Mus musculus: one gene and its partners. The protein of the gene in region 2 purifies or fractionates together with the protein of the main gene of each other region. This does not show direct contact. Links are inferred from orthologs where the notes say so. Each region holds a gene or a part of one and is shown on either strand. Other genes may lie near its edges.

Evidence for each region.
Region 1: the proteins of Cttn (region 2) and Flna purify together in Homo sapiens (affinity purification with mass spectrometry; 3 studies listed by BioGRID and IntAct, with this or other methods). This does not show direct contact. The link is inferred for Mus musculus from reciprocal best matches to the Homo sapiens genes CTTN and FLNA.
Region 3: the proteins of Cttn (region 2) and Asap1 purify together in Homo sapiens (affinity purification with western blotting; 6 studies listed by BioGRID and IntAct, with this or other methods). This does not show direct contact. The link is inferred for Mus musculus from reciprocal best matches to the Homo sapiens genes CTTN and ASAP1.

The regions. Positions count from the first base shown.
Region 1 is NC_000086.7:74,226,131-74,229,565, forward strand, and holds part of Flna (filamin-A), read right to left. Parts: intron 3,380-3,435; coding exon 3,251-3,379; intron 3,063-3,250; coding exon 2,889-3,062; intron 2,792-2,888; coding exon 2,630-2,791; intron 2,395-2,629; coding exon 2,191-2,394; intron 2,109-2,190; coding exon 1,956-2,108; intron 1,845-1,955; coding exon 1,722-1,844; intron 1,628-1,721; coding exon 1,361-1,627; intron 1,206-1,360; coding exon 1,068-1,205; intron 847-1,067; coding exon 731-846; intron 205-730; coding exon 72-204; intron 1-71. UniProt on the Homo sapiens protein: Promotes orthogonal branching of actin filaments and links actin filaments to membrane glycoproteins. Anchors various transmembrane proteins to the actin cytoskeleton and serves as a scaffold for a wide range of cytoplasmic signaling proteins.
Region 2 is NC_000073.6:144,460,800-144,464,447, reverse strand, and holds part of Cttn (src substrate cortactin), read left to right. Parts: intron 1-449; coding exon 450-536; intron 537-1,071; coding exon 1,072-1,145; intron 1,146-3,139; coding exon 3,140-3,269; intron 3,270-3,648.
Region 3 is NC_000081.6:64,120,803-64,124,450, reverse strand, and holds part of Asap1 (arf-GAP with SH3 domain, ANK repeat and PH domain-containing protein 1), read left to right. Parts: intron 1-50; coding exon 51-136; intron 137-470; coding exon 471-586; intron 587-711; coding exon 712-779; intron 780-2,335; coding exon 2,336-2,443; intron 2,444-3,648. UniProt on the Homo sapiens protein: Possesses phosphatidylinositol 4,5-bisphosphate-dependent GTPase-activating protein activity for ARF1 (ADP ribosylation factor 1) and ARF5 and a lesser activity towards ARF6.

The DNA of each region.
Region 1 (3,435 bases), on a different chromosome or scaffold from region 2:
ATCACTACATTAGCCTACTTCTAGTCAGCTAGGTCAAATGGTTGGATGAATAGGCAGGGATAGAGCCTCACCTTGGTCAATCTCTGTGACATAGCACTCCTCCAGAGCTCCTGAGGGGCTGTGCACCTTGGCATCAATTGCCCCCTTGGCTCCATTCAGACTGACTGCAAAAGATGCTGGCTGGTTGACCTTTAACCCTGACTCCTGGAAGCATAGCAGATGTGGTTAGACAGGATGTATAGAACCAGGGCAAATGGGAGAGCAGAAGACCGACAGAGTCACTTACCCATCTGGTGTCCAACATGGTTTAAAGAGGGAGAGCCATTGATCTGTGAGGGCAGCAAGCCACAGGCATACCCCCAACCTCCTATCTCCTAAACATGTTCTCCACAATCACACACCCAGGTAGCAGAAAGGCAAGGTGGCCCACCCTGTAGGTAGCACTCAGCTCTAACAGGCTGTCCCTCTTTAAACCTCAGCCCTGGTGCTCAATGGGCACAGGGTTCTGTTCAAAGCCTTTAGACCTGAGACACGAGAAAAACTCCACGCGGTGGGCAGGGTACTTCCTGCCAACCTCAAGCGTGGGCTGTACCCGGCCAGAGCAGAAGCCTACCATCCAGAATTATTTCTGCGTAGGCACTCAGCCCAGGGCCAAGACCTGCTTGCTATGGTGACTCTGGTCTGGCCGGGCCCAGGAGCCCCAGATGGGCAGTTTCTCTCAGTGCCTCACCTGAAGACTAGAAACAGTAAGGCGGCGGGCGTCACCAGACGGAGAAGCCACAGGCACCACGAAGGGGCTATCAGGTATGTGCTCCTCGTTGAACTTGACTGAGACCTCATAGTCACCTGGAAAGGAAGAGAACATAAGGCTATACCTGGAGGTGCCACATATCCCCAAAGGCTAGCCTAGGAAAGGCCTCTTGCCTCCCTCCCACAGTCCCCTTGGTTGTCCCTGGAACCTTACGATGGAGAATAAGAACCAAGTGGAGACTATGTAACACCTGGGTTCAACATACCCACACTCAGGTCCTACCTCCCCCTACCCCAGCCATTTCTGTTTCCAATACCTGGCTCCTGAACTACGTAGGCCACACCACAGGAGCCATCCTTTCGGTCCTCGAAAGAGATCTCAGCCTTGCTGGGGCCTTCAACAGCAATGGCCAGGCCTCCAGCGCCAGCTTCCCTAGTCCAAATGCCGAACTCCGCTGTGGGAAAGCAGTGTGTGCTCATGGAGCAGAGGACTGGTTCCCAGCCTCAGCCAAGTCTAAGCAAAGCCAAGATCAACATGCCTGCTGGCTACTTCCTACAAACACCCACCTAGGCCCACCTAGGATAGCAAGAATTAGACAAGTACACCTACCTGGCACTCCAACTTCAGCCCTCTCTAGGCCAGGGCCTCCAGCACGGACCTTGTGAGCACCCCCTTCCCCCAGAGGCCCCACAGTGAACTGGAAGGGGCTCCCAGGTACATGCTGGCCCTTGTACTTGACACTGACTGTATGCATTCCCATCTCAGCAGGCACAAATCGGATACAGTAAGTATGGTTCTCTCCTTCTACGATCTCTGCCTCATGGGTCTTGCCTGATGGGCTGGTCACCTGGGCTGTCATATCTTGGATGCTAATTTCTACAAATAGAAGATAGCTTGGTGAGCAGGGAGGGCCCTGTCTCTCTACTTATGCTTAGGGTTGCCCCAGAAACCCTCCTGATCTTTTCCCTACCAGGAATCTTCAGGCTGAGGTCACAATGACTGCCAATATTGGCCACAGAAGGGGCACGTCGCCTGCGTGTGATACTCTCTTTCACCCGGCCCTCACCTGTCACCTTCACAGAAAAGGGACTGCCTGTAGGAAAAAAGTACAATCCATACTATGCACAAGTTACAGGTGGGCACTGAGGTGTGTGACTAGCAATGCTGCCAAACCACAGGTAAGGGGTATGGCTGCCACACTCACCAGGCACATGCTGGTCAGCAAATTTGATGTTTATAATGTAGTTTCCAGGCTCTGTGGGACAGTAGGTGACCCTGCATGTGCCATCCTCCAGATCCTCTGTGTTGATGTCTACTTTGCTAGGGCCCTCAATGGACAGACTAAGCCCACCGTAGCCTGGGAAATAGATAGCAGCTATAAGCCAGAATGCCAAGGAAAGCTAGCTGTATTGCCCCAACTAGCAGACCACACTGCCTACCTGCATCTCTGGTGTCAATAATAAACTCTGCAGGCTCAAAGGTATGACCTTCATGAAGACCTTGACCAGAGACCCTCACACGGCTGGCATCACCTATCTCCGACTGGCTGATCACTACTGGGATGGGACTGCTTGCCACATGCTGGCCATTCTTCTTCACATGTACCAGGTGCTCCCCTGTCTCCTTGGGCACGAAGGAAATCCCTAGGCACAGGATAGGGCTATCAACAAGATGTGGGCCCACAATCTTCTTCCTTGCTCCCTTTGTCTGAACACAGGGTATTTATTACAGGCTAAAATGACTTTAACTCATTATGTAGCCAATGATTGGTTCCCCTGATTCTTCTACTTACACCTCCCAAGTATTAGGACTATGGGCAGTCACCACACCTGGCTTTCCCTCTTTCACAGAAACTTTTGCTCCCTCTTGACCTCTTACCCACGTGGCCATTTCGCAAACGTTTCAGCAGACAGGGTTCCTCTCGACCCGAAGGTGGCACCACAGTGGCTGTGAGTAGGCTAAGGTCTGTTTCTGAGATATTGATGGGGATATCAGCAGCAGAACCCACCTTTAGGTGGGACATACGCATGGAATCGTCACCTGGTAAGGGTGCAAGCCATCAGCCACTATAGATCCAGCCCAAAGAGACTGTGACCTCATGCCACCTGTTCCTGTCATTACTCCCGATGCTCCGTACCTGTTACTCTGGCAGTAAAGGGACTGCCTGGGATGTGTTGATCATTGTACTTAACTAGGATGCTATAGTCACCAGGCAGTACAGGCAGGTAAGAGACACTGCATGTTCCATCCTGGTTGTCAGTGCAACTGATTTCTGCTTTAGATGGACCCTCAATGGCCAGAGACAAGCCCCCTGAAAAATATCACAGATAAGAGTGAGAACTGTGCCCAGAGACACATTGCTGAACCTTTGTGGGTGAGTTGACTTGATGGCTCAGCATGAAGGTAAGGTAGAAAACACCATTCAGGATCATCTCCCACATACAGTTCTCAGCCAATGGAGGACAACTTGGGCAGGTCAAACCTAGAGCGTCTCCTTACCCTCTCCTGCATCCTTGGTGTTGACAGTGAAGGTGGCAGGTTTGTTGACCACTCCATGGGTAAGGCCAGGACCATAAGCAGTGATGTGGCCACAGTTGACATAATCAACATAGAACTGCAGAGGGCTTCCTGAGACCAGAATAGAAGCCACATGGAATACCAGACTCATTCATTTGTTAGTCATT
Region 2 (3,648 bases):
GCCAGTGAGCCCCTCAGATCCTCCTGCCTCCCAGGCCACTAGAGTTACAAATGTCCTCATCACAATGAGATTGTTTTTCTACATGGATGCCAAAGCAAGCCTTGCATGGAGCTGTCTCCCCAGCTCCACCTTCAGGACTCTTTTTTTTTTTTTTTTTTTTTTTTTTTGGTTTTTTCGAGACAGGGCTGTCCTGGAACTCACTTTGTAGACCAGTCTGGCCTCGAACACAGAAATCCGCCTGCCTCTGCCTCCCAAGTGCTGGGATTAAAGGCGTGTGCCACCACCACCCTGCTACCTTCAGGAGTCTTAATATGAAGCTGTGATTCGTGCAGGTGTCCTGGAGTTCAGTGACTGTCCTCTGCGGGGAGGTGGCTTCCTAAGGGTTTGGGTCAAGGCTTCTCTGGAGTGCTGGGGTGACTCTCCTAGGTGACTCTCTGCCGCTCTTGCAGATGTGGAAAGCCTCTGCAGGCCATGCTGTGTCCATCACGCAGGATGATGGAGGAGCTGATGACTGGGAGACTGATCCTGATTTTGTGGTAGGAGTCACCAGCCTGCTTTGTCTTACTGGCTGTTTGCCTCTGAGGTTCCCAGCCTGCCCCTGCACTGAGCTGCATAATTTCCTCCAGGGCACAGGGGTACAGCTTAGACGTACTAGTTAGGGTCTGGGATATACTAATTAGGGCATAAGATAAGTAAATTAGGGTGCCAGGTGTACTGTTTAGGTCTCAGGGCATACAAGTTAGGCATGAGAGTACTACATATTTCTCTAGGATGGGAATTATAGTATTTAGGGTATGGGGTGTGCTAGTTAAAATGGGGGGGAGTATGCTAGTTAGGGTACAGGATGTGCTAGTTGGGCTCAAGGTATACTTGTTAAATCATGTATTAGTTTGAGCTCAGGGTGTACTAATAGGGTTCAGGGTATACTAGTTAGAGTACAGAATGTACTAGTCCTCAGGGTGTTCTAGTTAGGGCATGTACCACTGGCTCTTCCAGGGTAGAGATACACTAGTTAGGGTTTAGGGAATGCTTTTTTAGGGTGTGGGATGTGCTAACTTCTTCTCTTTGCAGAATGATGTGAGTGAAAAGGAGCAGAGATGGGGTGCTAAAACCGTGCAGGGATCGGGGCACCAGGAACACATCAAGTAAGTACCTTATGGCACCCCACTCTCCCACACACCGTGCCCATAGGGTGAGATCAGAGCGGGCCTCCCTGCCTCTCCAGGTGAAGATCGTTAAGAGTCTAGTGTTTGTGCGTGGGCCTAAGGTGTCAGGCACACACAGATAATGGACAGGAGACCTAGCCATGTCTTTCAACACAGAACACAGTAGCATAAACTCTTCACTTTCAGTGGCAGCTGCTGAGGGTGTGGGATGGCTTTGAGTAACTTGGACCCTAACCATCTTCATTTGGATCATTGTCTACAAGTTGTCTCCTGGAATTTAGTGCTTGACCTTGGGAGCCCAGCTCCAATCTTGTGGAATGTACCATGCATCGAGTCTGACCCAGCACCTTCTGAAATGCCAACTCTACAGCAGCTTGCATCCCTGTCAGGGAGGGCAGGCAGGCCCTCTGCAGACACCTAGATGCTGTTTTAGGCCCCAAAGGGTTAAGAACACATCCTGTATGTCTGCTTTGGTATTTTGGCTGCGGTAATCAGAACGTTTGACTAGGTGCCCAGAAGAGGGCTGTGTGGTGGCTTGGCTTGTAGGTGGATTTTTTTTTTTTTTTTTTTTTTTGAGACAGGGTTTCTCTGTGTAGCCCTGGCTGTACCTGGAACTCACTCTGTAGACCAGGCTGGCCTCGAACTCAGAAATCGCCTGCCTCTGCCTCCCAAGTGCTGGGATTAAAGGCATGCGCCACCACCGCCCGGCTTGTAGGAGGATTGTAGCTGATATTTTTATCTATTTCTGAGATAGAGTCCTGCTGAGTTTCCCTGTCTGGTCCCACCTTCCAAGCTCGTGACATTCTTTCCCATAGTGACTTTCTGAATCTGAGTGTAGAGTAACCCAGCCTACCATGGAAGAGGTTTCGAGTTTCCCTGGTGTAGTAGAAGAGGGGATGGATATGAGGTGAACAGGGATCTGGGCAGCCAAGTGCCTATGAGTCTGTCCCCATCGTTTTAGAACATGATGGGAAGGGTGCATGGGAACACCCATGTGGCTCTCTGGATGGATGAAGACTCCAGGGGGAGGGGCATATGGGAGTCCCATGCTTCCTCTCAGGTTGTTGGTGGTGTTTCTCTTTTGCTGCTCATCAAGATCGGTGGTTCCGGGCCTGGTGTGCCTCTGTCCCCACTTTCGAGCTTGTTCATATGCAGAGCTGTGGGGCCTGTGTCTGCTGCTCAGGAAGGCCCTGTGACACAGCGCCCCAGTGACAGCTGTTTGCAGGCAGACAGGTTCTGGCGCTCCTCACCTGTACACCATTGCTGCTTGTCTTAGTTTGCTCTGCATTGCTATGATAAAGATACTGACCAAACACAACCTAGAGAGAAGCAAAGGGTTCTTTTCACCTTCCAGCTTCTAAGTCCATCACTGAGGGAAGCCAGATCAGGAACTTGCAGGCAAGAACTAAAGCAGAGGCCATGGAGGAAGACTCCTTATAGCTTACTTCTCATGGTTTGCTTGGCTGCTTTCTTATACCACCCAGGCAGATCCCAGGGGCTCTCCCAGCATTAACTCCGCCCCCCAGTGGGCTATGTCCTCCCATATCAGTCATCAAGAAAATGCCCTATAGTAGGTCAGTCTGATGGGGGCATTTTCTCAGTTGAGGTTTCCTCTCTGAGAGGACTCTAGCTTGTATCAAGTTGCCACAATGCTAACCAACATAGCCAGCTCCTTCTGGTGACCTTGGGGGTTTGTAGATGGGACTCTAGGTGACATTTACAGAAATCAACCCTCTATCTGCTGATCTAAGTGAAGGGAAGCTCAGCTGCGCTGCCTCTGGGACTGGCCACATGGTCCTGTGTGGATTTAGACCCATATTCCTCCCACATACAGAGCCTTGGAGGCAGGCACAGTGAACAAACAGGACAGCAATCTCGCTGACTCACAAGGGCATCTGTATTCCTGTTTGTCCTGCTGTCGGGTGAGGTGCATGCCTGGACCCTGACATGGCCCTGCTTTTCCTCCCCTCCAGCATTCACAAGCTTCGAGAGAATGTCTTCCAAGAACACCAGACGCTCAAGGAGAAGGAGCTGGAAACGGGACCCAAGGCTTCCCACGGCTATGGCGGGAAGTTCGGTGTGGAGCAGGATAGGATGGACAGAGTAAGTGGCTGACCGGGCTGAGCTGCTGGCCTGCATGGGTGCATGATGTGGGTGGCAGTCAGACTTTTCCTGAGTCATAGTGTAGAGTGGGGTTTGCTGAGGGTGAGGGGTTGCTCTGAGGGGTCTTCTATAGCTGCCCTCTGGTAAAGTTCTTCTGTGTCTCTAGTAGCTGTTTTACATTGTCAGAGGCCCCAGCCAGTGGCTAGTATGTAGGGGGGGCTCTCTGGGAGAGATCAGCACCATGACCGGCTTTGTGAGCACAACAGAGTCTGGAAGCATCCGTCTCACAGACGTCATTGTCACCATGGCCTATGGTTGAGATGGGCGAAGTCAGCTCTGAGGGCCCTTAGCTCCCATCACATCTGTGGAGTCCACTGAC
Region 3 (3,648 bases), on a different chromosome or scaffold from region 2:
AAGCTGCTAGAGGCATGATCACCGAGTTCATATCCTCCCTCCCTCCTCAGGAGCTCGGGGAGACAGCCCTTCATCTTGCCGTCAGGACCGCAGACCAGACATCTCTCCATCTGGTTGATTTCCTTGTACAAAACTGGTATGGCTTTTGTTTTTCATCTTAATGAACTGAGTATAGTTTACAGCACAAACCAGAACTGCGTAAGACCTATTCCCAAACTCTGTGCTCTGTGGTTAGCTGGTTAAAAGACCTTTATTGGCTGTGACTGCTCAGTTGCATCCCTTTGTCTCTGCCTGCTTTATAGTGTGCCCATAGGTCTGTGTATGATCTGCTAGGTGACGGAAAAAAAGCATAGAAAACACAGAGTGTAGAAACTGCGTTTAAGCATCTGAAGAACTTCTTAAGACATATACCTCATAGATGAGAGAGGACCTGTGGTCACAGTCTTTCTAATAATGCTGCAATCTTTCAGTGGGAACCTGGATAAGCAAACGTCTGTGGGGAATACAGTTCTGCACTATTGCAGCATGTACGGCAAGCCGGAGTGTCTGAAGCTGCTGCTTAGGAGCAAGCCCACCGTGGACATCGGTAAGTGTGGCCGCTCTCAGACATCCCAGAGGGCCGAGACTACACACACATGCAACTTAGTCACTGTGCCTCGCCTCTTGAAATAGTATCCTAGATAATTATTTGCATTTATTCTACTGTTTCAGTTAACCAGAATGGAGAAACTGCCTTGGATATAGCAAAGAGACTCAAAGCTACCCAGTGTGAAGATCTGGTAAGCAAAACCAGGATCAGAGGTGTGTCAGACATCAGCGGCCATGAAGTGTTCTTCTTTCTCAGAGGGTGGAATTGGGGAAGGATGAAGCATTTTGTTTCTACGTAGCTAAAGAAATACAGATAAGTGCTAAAGTGCATTTGAAAGAGTGCTGAGGTCATGGCTTTGCCTTCTGAGTGCACTTGTCACACTGGAGACCCACGCCTTTGTGGGAGTGAGGATTAGGATCATGCTGCGTGTTTGCCAGGACACCAGGCTGCTTTGCAGCTAAGGGGAGAGGATAGGATTCCTTAGGCAGTCAGTTCAAGAGCTGAGAAGAGTGTAGTGGTTTTCTGCAAGCTTAGCACCCTCCCTCCTGCCTCCCTCCTGTGCACACTCACCTTTCTCTCCCTACTTCGCTAATCTCCTGCTGGACCTTCACGTGAGCGGGGTTCTCTTAACCACAGCGCCTGGTGTCTGCCCTCTGTTGCAGACAGCATGTAATATACAGACTGAGCGAGTTGTAAAGAAAACAGGTGTGTGTTGACTCGTGGTTCAGGGTAAAGGGGCTGTATCCGAGATGGCCTTTTTCTTCTCCCAGTTAATCCCACTATGAGAGACAGGAGAGTACCTATGTTTTCTGCTCAGTGGTCCCTCATCTAAAGCCACCAATGTTCATCCATTATGGCTCCTTCCTGAAACCCCTGTCTAATCCTCATCACCTCCCAAAGGCCCTGATCTCAGTACCATTTCTGAGTTTCCACCCTTTTAAGACCTCTCGATGAGGATTAAGTTTTCACTTAATGGACTGGGGATAGTGGGACATGCCTGTAACCTGAGCCCTCAGGAGGCTTAGGCGGAGGATCACAAGCTCCAAACAAGCCCAGGCTCCATGGGGGAGGCATTGCAGTAAGGAAATATCTCTGCATTTCAGAGGCCCAGGCCAGGCGAGGCTGGAGAAGGAAAGGACACTCCACTGAGTTTGAGTTTCTCCAGACCTGGAAGTTGTACCTTTTGTAATTTTTGTTGCTTTGATATTTTTATTTGTTTCTTGCTGAGTTCTTGTGGGGAGGGGCTGGCAGGTGGGGGTTGCAGGGAGGACTGAAACTCTAATCTTCCCTAGCGCCAGGACCTGCACCACGATCACTGGCTGTATTATGTATTCTTGTTATCCCTTAAGATTTATTTAATTTTCTTTTTTTGTATATGAGTATTTTACTTACATGCTGCATGTATATATACCACTTGTGTGCCTGGGTCCTATAGAGACCAGAAGAGAACATTAGAACTAGTTACCATGTGAGCCACCGTGTGGGTTCTGAGACCCAAACCCAGATTATCTGCAACAAGAACCATCTCTCCAGCACCTGTATTTTGTATCTTGGAGTCCTTTGAGACCACAGTCTCTGCCCACACTGCCCTGGGTGTGTCATGCGGCCACCCAGCTTGTCTAGTCAGAACTGTGCCCCCTGGGCCGTGTCCTTTGGGGCTGAGGGGTGGGGTCTTGCTTGGTGCTTGTAGAGTGGTGGATATTTGAGCATTTCCATTAAGTGGTGTGCCCTTGCTGTTCCTTACAGCTTTCCCAGGCTAAATCTGGAAAGTTCAACCCTCATGTCCACGTAGAGTATGAGTGGAATCTTCGACAGGACGAGATGGATGAGAGCGATGACGATCTGGATGACAAGGTGAGTGCACGGGTGCGTGCTCCACATGCTGCACCCTCCAGAGCACCTGGGCCATCTCCCACCTTCTGTGAGCTGCATTGGACTGGGTCTTCTGACCTGAGGAAGCCATTTGGTCTCTGTTGGGCACCATGTAATAGCCGGACAATAGAACCTGTGGGAAAGATCTGGAAAGAGACAGTCATTTGAAGGAAGTGGCCTGTGCAGTTGTGGAGCTGGCCAGCCGACAAGCTACTAGTTCCAGCAGCCAGTGATAGCACAGAGATGAGGCTCAAGAGGGTCTGAAAGCCAAAGTCCTGGTCACTTTTTCTTAAGGTCTTCAGCTGACAGCACGAGGCCCACGGACATTTTGGAGGGCAGCTCAGATGCCACTGATTCCGTTGTGATCGGCTTTAAAATGAAGGCCGTGTCTACACTGATGATTGCCTGCACCCCACAGCCTAGTCGCTGTGTAGAATTAAACATGTAAAACACTACATATAAGTACCCATAATTGTCACGTTTGAGGGGTTTACCCGTGGTCTAAGTTGAGATAAATATTTTTCCATTGTCTCAGATTGTCTCTGTAGAACCTCACAGGATGCGGTGATTGTACCCAGAGAAAACTTAGGCACAAGAGGACTTGGCATCTTTTCTGAAGCCTTCTAGCTGATAGAGAGATGGCTATCTCTAGGATTAGGCCCAGGTCTTGGTGACTCTTGTAGGTGGTATTTATCTACCTTTGAAAGTTCCACCATATTTATCATCAGATGTATGCCAGGCGGGATTATAAGGGATACTCAGACAAAGGTCCTAATGTTGCTCTCCATTTCAAGAGGAGAGAAATGCTAACTCAGATGGTAATGTGACTGTCTAGTGAAAGTCCGAGCATTCCAGACACCTAGCTCCTCAGCCTTGGTGAGCCCTGGCAGTCTCATCAAGAAGGCAGCTACAGAGATGGATTTCCGAGACTAGGTGGGTACTGGCCAGAGGAAAGAAAAGAGGAATAGAACCAACCGCTCACCCTGTGAGTGGGAAGCATCTTCCTGGGGAAGGGAAGAGGTGCCCTGCAGAGTTGTGAGTAGTTTTTCAGGTTCAACCTTTATCTTTACCCAAGCAGTCAGAGGCCAGCAGACATTTATTAGCAGGACTGAGTTTCCTACCAACCGTTCCTGTAGTGTATACATTGAGATGAGGGGAAGAGAAGAATCAGGGCCATTCTGCTGCAG